Linked DNA regions of Macaca fascicularis. The protein of the gene in region 1 binds, or shares a complex with, the protein of each later gene. Links are inferred from orthologs where the notes say so. Each region holds a gene or a part of one and is shown in the gene's direction. Other genes may lie near its edges.

What was found. The genes of interacting proteins can lie anywhere in the genome.
Region 2: the proteins of BTK (region 1) and BIRC2 are in contact, whole or in part, in a crystal structure (PDB 6W7O), measured with the Homo sapiens proteins. The link is inferred for Macaca fascicularis from reciprocal best matches to the Homo sapiens genes BTK and BIRC2. Residues at the interface, in NP_000052.1 of Homo sapiens: Leu483, Asn484, Arg487, Glu488, Tyr551, Ser557, Lys558, Arg562, Lys595, Met596, Tyr598, Glu599, Arg600, Phe601, Thr602, Glu605; in NP_001157.1 of Homo sapiens: Pro280, Ser281, Ser282, Asn301, Asp302, Asp303, Arg314, Cys315, Glu317, Ser318.

Annotation. Positions count from the first base shown.
Region 1 is NC_088395.1:108,022,265-108,026,243, reverse strand, and holds part of BTK (tyrosine-protein kinase BTK), read left to right. Parts: intron 1-958; coding exon 959-1,023; intron 1,024-1,674; coding exon 1,675-1,793; intron 1,794-2,312; coding exon 2,313-2,470; intron 2,471-3,979. UniProt on the Homo sapiens protein: Non-receptor tyrosine kinase indispensable for B lymphocyte development, differentiation and signaling. Binding of antigen to the B-cell antigen receptor (BCR) triggers signaling that ultimately leads to B-cell activation.
Region 2 is NC_088388.1:101,372,158-101,376,244, forward strand, and holds part of BIRC2 (baculoviral IAP repeat-containing protein 2), read left to right. Parts: intron 1-1,260; coding exon 1,261-1,339; intron 1,340-2,027; coding exon 2,028-2,076; intron 2,077-4,087. UniProt on the Homo sapiens protein: Multi-functional protein which regulates not only caspases and apoptosis, but also modulates inflammatory signaling and immunity, mitogenic kinase signaling, and cell proliferation, as well as cell invasion and metastasis.

The DNA of each region.
Region 1 (3,979 bases):
CATGTGTTTTTGTTTGTTTGTTTTTTTAATGTTATATAATAATTAGCAAACCCTTAAAAAGAAACATTTCACTTAAAAAAAAAAAAACACCCTGGAATTTCCAGCTTCTCTTGAAAATCTAGACCATCTGGAAATACCAGGTCCACATTCTCACAAACCACTTCCTTTCCTTTAGACCAGGCGTGTAGTCTCCATTTCCTGCAATCTCCATCCACTTCACTTCACTCTTGCTTAACTTGCCTGGCCCCTGTAAGCATCAGAGTTTGCGTCCCTGTTTCGGTCAGGCCAAGGCTCAAATTGTCCTAGTCTCATTGGCAGAAAAGCAGAAAGCAAAACAAACTTACTTCTCATTCTCCTTTTTTTTTTTTCTTTTCGAGATGGAGTCTCGCTCTGTCACCCAGGCTGTAGTACAGTGGCGCCATCTCAGCTCACTGCAACCTCCGCCTCCCAGGTTCAAGTGATTCTCCAGCCTCAGCCTCCCGAGTAGTTGGGATCACAGGCACCCGCCACCATGCCCAGCTAATTTTTGTATTTTTAGTAGAGGCGGGGTATCGCCATGTTGGCCAGACTGGTCTCGAACTCCTGACCTCAGGTGATCCACCCACCTCGGCCTCCCAAAGTGTTGGGATTACAGGCATGAGCCACTGCACTCAGCCTCTCCCTTAATTCTTTCAGCATACCAGTGAGGGAATGGGGTGGTATGGAATTGCCCATGAGAATGCAATCGTTCTGTATGTCCTCAGTGCTTTACCTAGGACTGCACAGCAGGTTGCTTTCCACATGGTGGAAATGAATCAAAATTTCTTGGTGGCATCAACAGATTCCTATTAGGTGGGAAGGTGTCTGTAGTCGAAGGAGATGAGGCTTCCCTGCCTTCATTCTACTGGTCAGCAGAAGCTTTGTGCCTTTAACCTCTGTGCTGGGGACGGAGTCTCACTGGTATCTGTTTGCACTACAGGCAGCTCGAAACTGTTTGGTAAACGATCAAGGAGTTGTTAAAGTATCTGATTTCGGCCTGTCCAGGTGAGTGTGCCTTTTTCATCTTTCCCTCCAGAAGTAAAAATAGCACAGTATGAAACATGGGTAGGTGTTATAGTTTTAATCCTCTCCTTTTCTTTTTTTTTTTTCTCTCATTCTAGTGTTTTCTGCCTATCTTTCTATTCTTTTTCTTCCTCTGAGTTATTTAAGCCACCTCTTTCATCCTTTTGTTTTATCATCATATCCCTTTCCTCCCTTTCTCCCTTTATCTCTACCTCCTCTTTTTTTTTTTTAGCTATTTCCCCAATACCTTATCTCGATCTATTAATCCTGATGACTTTATTCCATTCCTCCTTTTTTCTTAATCAAATTCCCAGTGACAACTGCAGATAAAAGGAAGGGAAGGAGAAGAGTAGAGAAAGGAAAAGTATAGAGAAGAGGAAGGGAGTACCTACTAGATCTTATTTCACATCATCCTTCTTGTAACCATATTGTCAATCAGGAAAGCTCAATCAGATACAAAAACAGGAAATTCGTTAAAAGTAACATTTGTAGAAGATACTAGTTGAGAAGGATAGACTTTTGAGAAAGCCTGTAAGTGTGTGTTTGTAACACTCTTGTGACCGCGCCAAGAAAACGTAAGCAAATACCAAGCTCTCCAAATCCTAATGACAACAAGTCCTGGATCCCTTGCAGGTATGTCCTGGATGATGAATACACCAGCTCAGTAGGCTCCAAATTTCCAGTCCGGTGGTCCCCACCGGAAGTCCTGATGTATAGCAAGTTCAGCAGCAAATCTGACATTTGGGCTTTTGGTAAGTGGATAAGATTACATAGATTATACAGCTCAAAGGAAAAGAAATGCAATGGGAAAATTCACACTTTGCAACCTCCACAGAGAGATTGTTCTTGCTTTCATTCATCTAATCCTTGGGGAGTGCTTACTGTGTGTCAGCCACCCCAGGGGTTTCTGAGGATAAAAACTAAACTGGACATGATCTCTGTCTTTTTAGAACTTAAACCATGTTAAATAAAACAATTCATTCAGTTTTTGACAGCTTCTGAATACTGATTATGTACCAGGCACTCTGCCAGACCCTATAACTACAAAGACAAATAAGATGCTGTCTCTCTTCTAGAGGAGTTAATAGTCTAGTACGACCCTGATCTCCATCTAGTGTGGTCAGCACTATAGCAGAAATTTGGGCAAAATGTAAAAAGCACAGAGTGGGGAACCAACTGATTCTAATCTTTGAGGTTGATCTAGGAAGACTAGGACCCCCTGCTATCCAAAAAGACTGCAAACTAATTTAACACTTTTTTTCGTCTTCTAGGAGTTTTGATGTGGGAAATTTACTCCCTGGGGAAGATGCCATATGAGAGATTTACTAACAGTGAGACTGCTGAACACATTGCCCAAGGCCTACGTCTCTACAGGCCTCATCTGGCTTCAGAGAAGGTATATACCATCATGTACAGTTGTTGGCATGAGGTAAGTGTTTTATGACCTCTTAAATTATTTCCTTGAATCTACTTGCCCATTTAGCTGGCCATTCAGCCACAGACTGATAGCTGCACACGTTCTTTTTTTCCTTTTTTTTTTTTTTTTTAAAATTTGAGACAAGGTCTCGCTCTTTCACCCAGGTTGGAGTACAGTGGCGCGATCTCGGCTCACTGCAACCTTCGCCTCCCAGATTCAAGCAGTTCTCATGTCTCAGCCTCCCAAGTACTTGGGATTACAGGCGTGCACCACCACACCCAGATAATTTTTTTTTTTTTTTTTTGTGACACAGTCTTGCTGTCACCCAGGCTGGAGTGCAATGGCGCGATCTTGGCTCACTGCAACCTCTGCTTCCCGGGTTCGAGCGATTATCCTGCCTCGGCCTCCCGAGTAGCTGGGACTACAGGCACATGCCACCACGCCTAGTTAATTTTTGCATTTTTAGTAGAGACAGGGTTTCACCATGTTGGCCAGGCTGGTCTTGAACTCCTGACCTCAGGTGATCTGCCCACCTCAGCCTCCCAAAGTGCTGGGATTACAGACGTGAGCCACCGCGCCCAGCCAATTTTATATTTTTAGTAGAGATGGCATTTCACCAAGTTGGCCAGGCTGATCTCAAACTCCTGGCCTCAAGTGGTCCGCCCACCTCGGCCTCCCAAAGTGCTGAGATTAGAGGCGTGAACCACCATGCCAGACCTTGCACACATTCTCTGACCTTGGCCTGCACCTCGATCATCCGATGGCCAGAGGCTTTCCCAGGCCCACTCCAATTCTCACTAGAGTGTCATTAGTACACTCCAATGCCAACTCAGCTTTAGGGAGTGGGGTGTTGTGGGGCCATGTCATCTAGCATAAACAGGCAGCCAGAGGCACTCAGACAAGTGAATGGGCATTACAAAAGAAAAGTCATGAAAGTTTGTTCATTCCTTTGTGTGTCATTGGCCCTTTCTTCTACTTTATTAGCTGCCTACTGTTTCTGGCTGAGGTCCTAAATGAGAATTTTTTTTTTTTTTTTTTTTTGAGACGGAGTCTCGCTCTGTCGCCCAGGCTGGAGTGCAGTGGCCCGATCTCGGCTCACTGCAAGCTCCGCCTCCCAGGTTCATGCCATTCTCCTGCCTCAGCCTCCCAAGTAGCTGGGACTGCAGGTGCCCGCCACCATGCCCGGCTAATTTTTTGTATTTTTAGTAGAAACGGGGTTTCACCATGTTAGCCAGGATGGTCTTGATCTCCTGATCTCGTGATCTGCCCACCTCTGCCTCCCAAAATACTGGGATTACAGGCGTGAGCCACTGCACCCAGCTAAATGAGATTTTTTTAAAAAACCCTACTGCTTGAAAGAGAACTAAAATAGGTAGTGGGGTTTTTTTGTTTGCTTCGTTTTGTTTTTGCTTTTTAATATGGTGCATTGTGGGGTATGTGGGTAGGTGTGGTATTTTGGAAATAAGGAAATCTGTCCTACTACTATTAAACTGCTTTGCTCCTCTTACCTCGAGTTCTTCC
Region 2 (4,087 bases), on another chromosome or scaffold:
AACTTTCTTCGAGTGTTGTGGCTTTTCATTTTTTAACATCTTTTGAAGAGCAGATATTTTCAATGTTGATGATGTCAGTTTATCAATTTTATCTTTTGTAGAAGATGTTTTTGGTCTTTTGTCTAATAATTCTTTACCTAATGTAAAGACAAAAGTATTTTTCTCCTGTACTTTTTCCTAGAAGTTTTATTATTTTAGGTTTTATATTTAGGTATATGATCTATTTTTACTTTTATTTTTGCTATTTTTGCATATAATATGGGCATAGGTCAGAGTTTTTTGTTTTTTAAATACGTATATCCTGTTGTAGAGTATCATTTGTTGAAGAAACAAAAGGAGTAGAATGGATATAGATGGTATGTGAACTTCTTGGAACATCTTCAAGAAGCCCTATCAGTTTAAAAACAAATACTTGAGAAACACTGTCACATTATATATAGATAAAAATATTTGATTCCATATTTTTTGGAGGGAAGGTAGTGGATTGTGGCTCAAATGTAATGGAAGAGTGAACATTGAAGAAAGATGAGCAGTTATATTGTGAAAGATCATGTTGTAGGAATACTAAGTTAATAGTATCTGAAACTGTTAAGTAGTTCACTTTAAGCACAAAATAAATTGTGTATAATAGTGTTTTTTGGGAGTCAACTTGTTCCCCTTTGTAGGTGCAGACGCTTTTCTTTTTGTTGTTGTTGTGTTAATGGATTGAATTAGAAAATACCATGATATATTGGCCGGGCGCGGTGGCTCAAGCCTGTAATCCCAGCACTTTGGAGGCCGAGACGGGCGGATCACGAGGTCAGGAGATCGAGACCATCCTGGCTAACACGGTGAAACCCCGTCTCTACTAAAAAAATACAAAAAACTAGCCGGGCGAGGTGGCGGGCGCCTGTAGTCCCAGCTACTCGGGAGGCTGAGGCAGGAGAATGGTCTAAACCCGAGAGGCAGAGCTTGCAGTGAGCTGAGATCCGGCCACTGCACCCCAGCCTGGGTGACAGAGCAAGACTCTGTCTCAAAAAAAAAAAAAAAAAAAAAAAAAAAAAAAAAAAAAAGAAAATACCATGATATATAACACACAGTAAGATGTATATTGTTTTATGATAATTTTGTTCCCGTTAGATATGTATGTGTTCTGGGTTGTGATGTAAAATGTTTTTACTGTGGGGTACAATGAAAGATTTGAAAGCCATTTTTTCTAGAATGGTCAGGTTATATTGATATGGAACAATTTTAAAAAATAATTTTCCTCATATGTTTTAGGTGTGAGTTCTTGATACGAATGAAAGGTCAAGAGTTTGTTGATGAGATTCAAGGTAGATATCCTCATCTTCTTGAACAGGTAAATATATTTTTAAAATCAACAACTTTGAATTCTGCTTTATAATAAAAATACTATTAGATTGGTGCAAAAGTAATCATGGTTTTTGCCATTGAAAATCATGACCAAAACCGTGACCACTTTTGTACCAACCTGTATTAGAAGTTATACTTATTTCTCTTTTATTAATTGTAGGTACATATTTTCATTGATGTTAATGACAACTTTGATTTTTACTTTTGTAATCAACTTGATTGTTTAGGGCTTTTTAAAAAGATTGTTGTTTGTTTTTACTATTTTGAAAAATCATTTATGCTGCCACTGTACAAATTTGTGATGGGATTAGAGAAGGAGGTTTAGTGTCTCTTTGCTGTTTTCCAGAAAAACAAACAAAAAATAACTTGTTAGGCTCTGAGACCCTTTGAGAGTAACCCAGTTAAAATCTTATTTTCCTAATGGAATGAGAAACCACTGATACATTTTTCTACTTTCCTGAAACTAGAGAAATACTTGAATTCTAATTTGGGATAACATGAAATTTAAGGAAATCTATGTGATTAGGGTGAAAGAAAGCAAAGTAAAGCTCATAAATCACTCAGTTCTCAATAGAATATATACATATACTTAACATAAACTTACTTTAGTGTTGTTCCTTTCAGATTGTTGGGGATATCTGATTTTACCTATTAACTTTTCTCTTGTTTCATAGCTGTTGTCAACTTCGGATACTACTGGAGACGAAAATGCTGACCCACCAAGTATGTATGAAATAATTTTAAGTATAGAGTGTAAATTTTTATAAGAATTTTAGGAATAGGCTGGGTGCAGTGGCTCATGCCTGTAATCCTAACACTTTGAGAGGCCGAGGTTGGCAGATCACCTGAGGTCAGGAGTTCGAGACCAGCCTGGCCAACATAGTAAACCCCGTCTCTACTAAAAATACAAAAATTAGCCAGGCGTGATGCGCCTGTAGTCTCAGCTACTCGGGAGGCTGAGGCAGGAGAATTGCTTGAACCCAGGAGGCGGAGGTTGCAGTGAACTGAGATTGTGCCATTGCACTTCAGCCTGGGCGACAGAGTGAGACTCGGTCTCCAAAAAAAAACAAATGTAGGAATGAAAGTATGTACTTTTTAAAAGAGTTTCTGAAGCCATAGGGAAAAATACTGGGAAGTCAGCTAATAAATATTTTATATATATATATATATATGCTTACACACTAGTTTTTGTTCTAGTGCTATACTTACCACTTTTAGTGCTGACATTCCAACTGGAGAAATGAGACATAAGCAAAAGAAAAACAACAGATAGCTTGAAGCAATGCCAAATAAGCGGTGCAAATAATAAGCCCCCCAGATAATAAGCCCCCCAGAAAAGAAAAGGTTGCTGTGAGCTAGCATGATTTGGAAAAGCAGTTCACATATGATTTACGAATTGGACTAGATGTTAGGTATTTAAGTCAGGTATGTTGTATTTCAACGCAAGGGCAGGAAATAGTATAGCTTTTGATTAGAGCTTAATGTTAGCCACATCTGCCAGTTTATGTAATATACATATGTTATGGTGTCTAAAATGGCTAAGGTAATAATCCACTGTTTTATGTACCAAGGGCCATTCTGTTTGTGGCACAGCATTTCAAGAAAGATACTGGTAGATTTGTTAACTGGACCAGAGAAAGGTGACCAAGATGTATGAATCTTAGAAACCATGGCTCAGGAGGACTGGATGAAGGATTTGGTAGTATTTGACTGGGAAATAGGAAGGAGAGTACCTGGGTACATGACAGCTATCTCTTGTGTAATGGACCTAGAAAAGATAGATAGCAGTGTGGGCTGTTCTTAAAATTTTTAACCACTGCTGTCAAGTAGGCTCCCCTGAAGTTCTACCGTAGTTCCTAATAAAATCACTTTGTCAATCTTTAAATGACTGTTTCTTGTTTTCTTTCTTGGTAATTTTCTAACACTCTCTTCCCACCTTGTCAGTTTATAACCTTGCTTCCCTAAGAAAATAGAATCCAAAAGAGAGCTGCTTTATTGCCTCACCAGCAAAACCACAAGGCTACATAATTTATCCTTGTACTTTTCTTTCTGTTCGTTCATAAGAGATGAATTGTTCTTTCCTTTTTCTAAGGCCAATACTTCCACTTTTCCTCTGTATTCCATCCCCTGCTGCCAACTTAAGAAGGTTACTTTGGCAGTGACATACCCTTTCTCTCGAGTCTTCAATTTTTCCATCTCTCCTGAATCATTCATGTTAGCATATAAACATAATGTACTTTTGCTAATCCTAGGAAAACTTCCATGAACCAATGTCCCCATTCAGCTATTATCTTATTACTCTGCTTCCCTTTACAACAAAATACCTAGGAAGATTTATCTATGCTTACTCTGTTTTACTTTCTCACCTTTCATTCTTTCTCTTACTTGTTCTGCTGGAACTGTTCTTGTCATGGTAACCAAGGACTGCCATGTTAGCAAATCCACCACTTGACCTGTTAACCAGCATTTGATAATCATTGGGTGCTTTGTCTTTCTTTTTTCTTTTTTTGAAACAAGGTCTCACTTTGTCACCTAGGCTGTAGTGTAGTGGTGCCATCATGGCTCACTGTAGCCTTAACTTCCCTGGCTCAGGTGATCCTCTCACCTCAGCTCCCCGAGTAGCTGGGACTACAGGCATGCACCACCACGTTCAGCTAATTGTGTCTCTGTGTGTGTGTGTGTGTGTGTGTGTTTTGTAGATGCAGGGTTTCACCATGTTGCCCAGGCTGGTCTC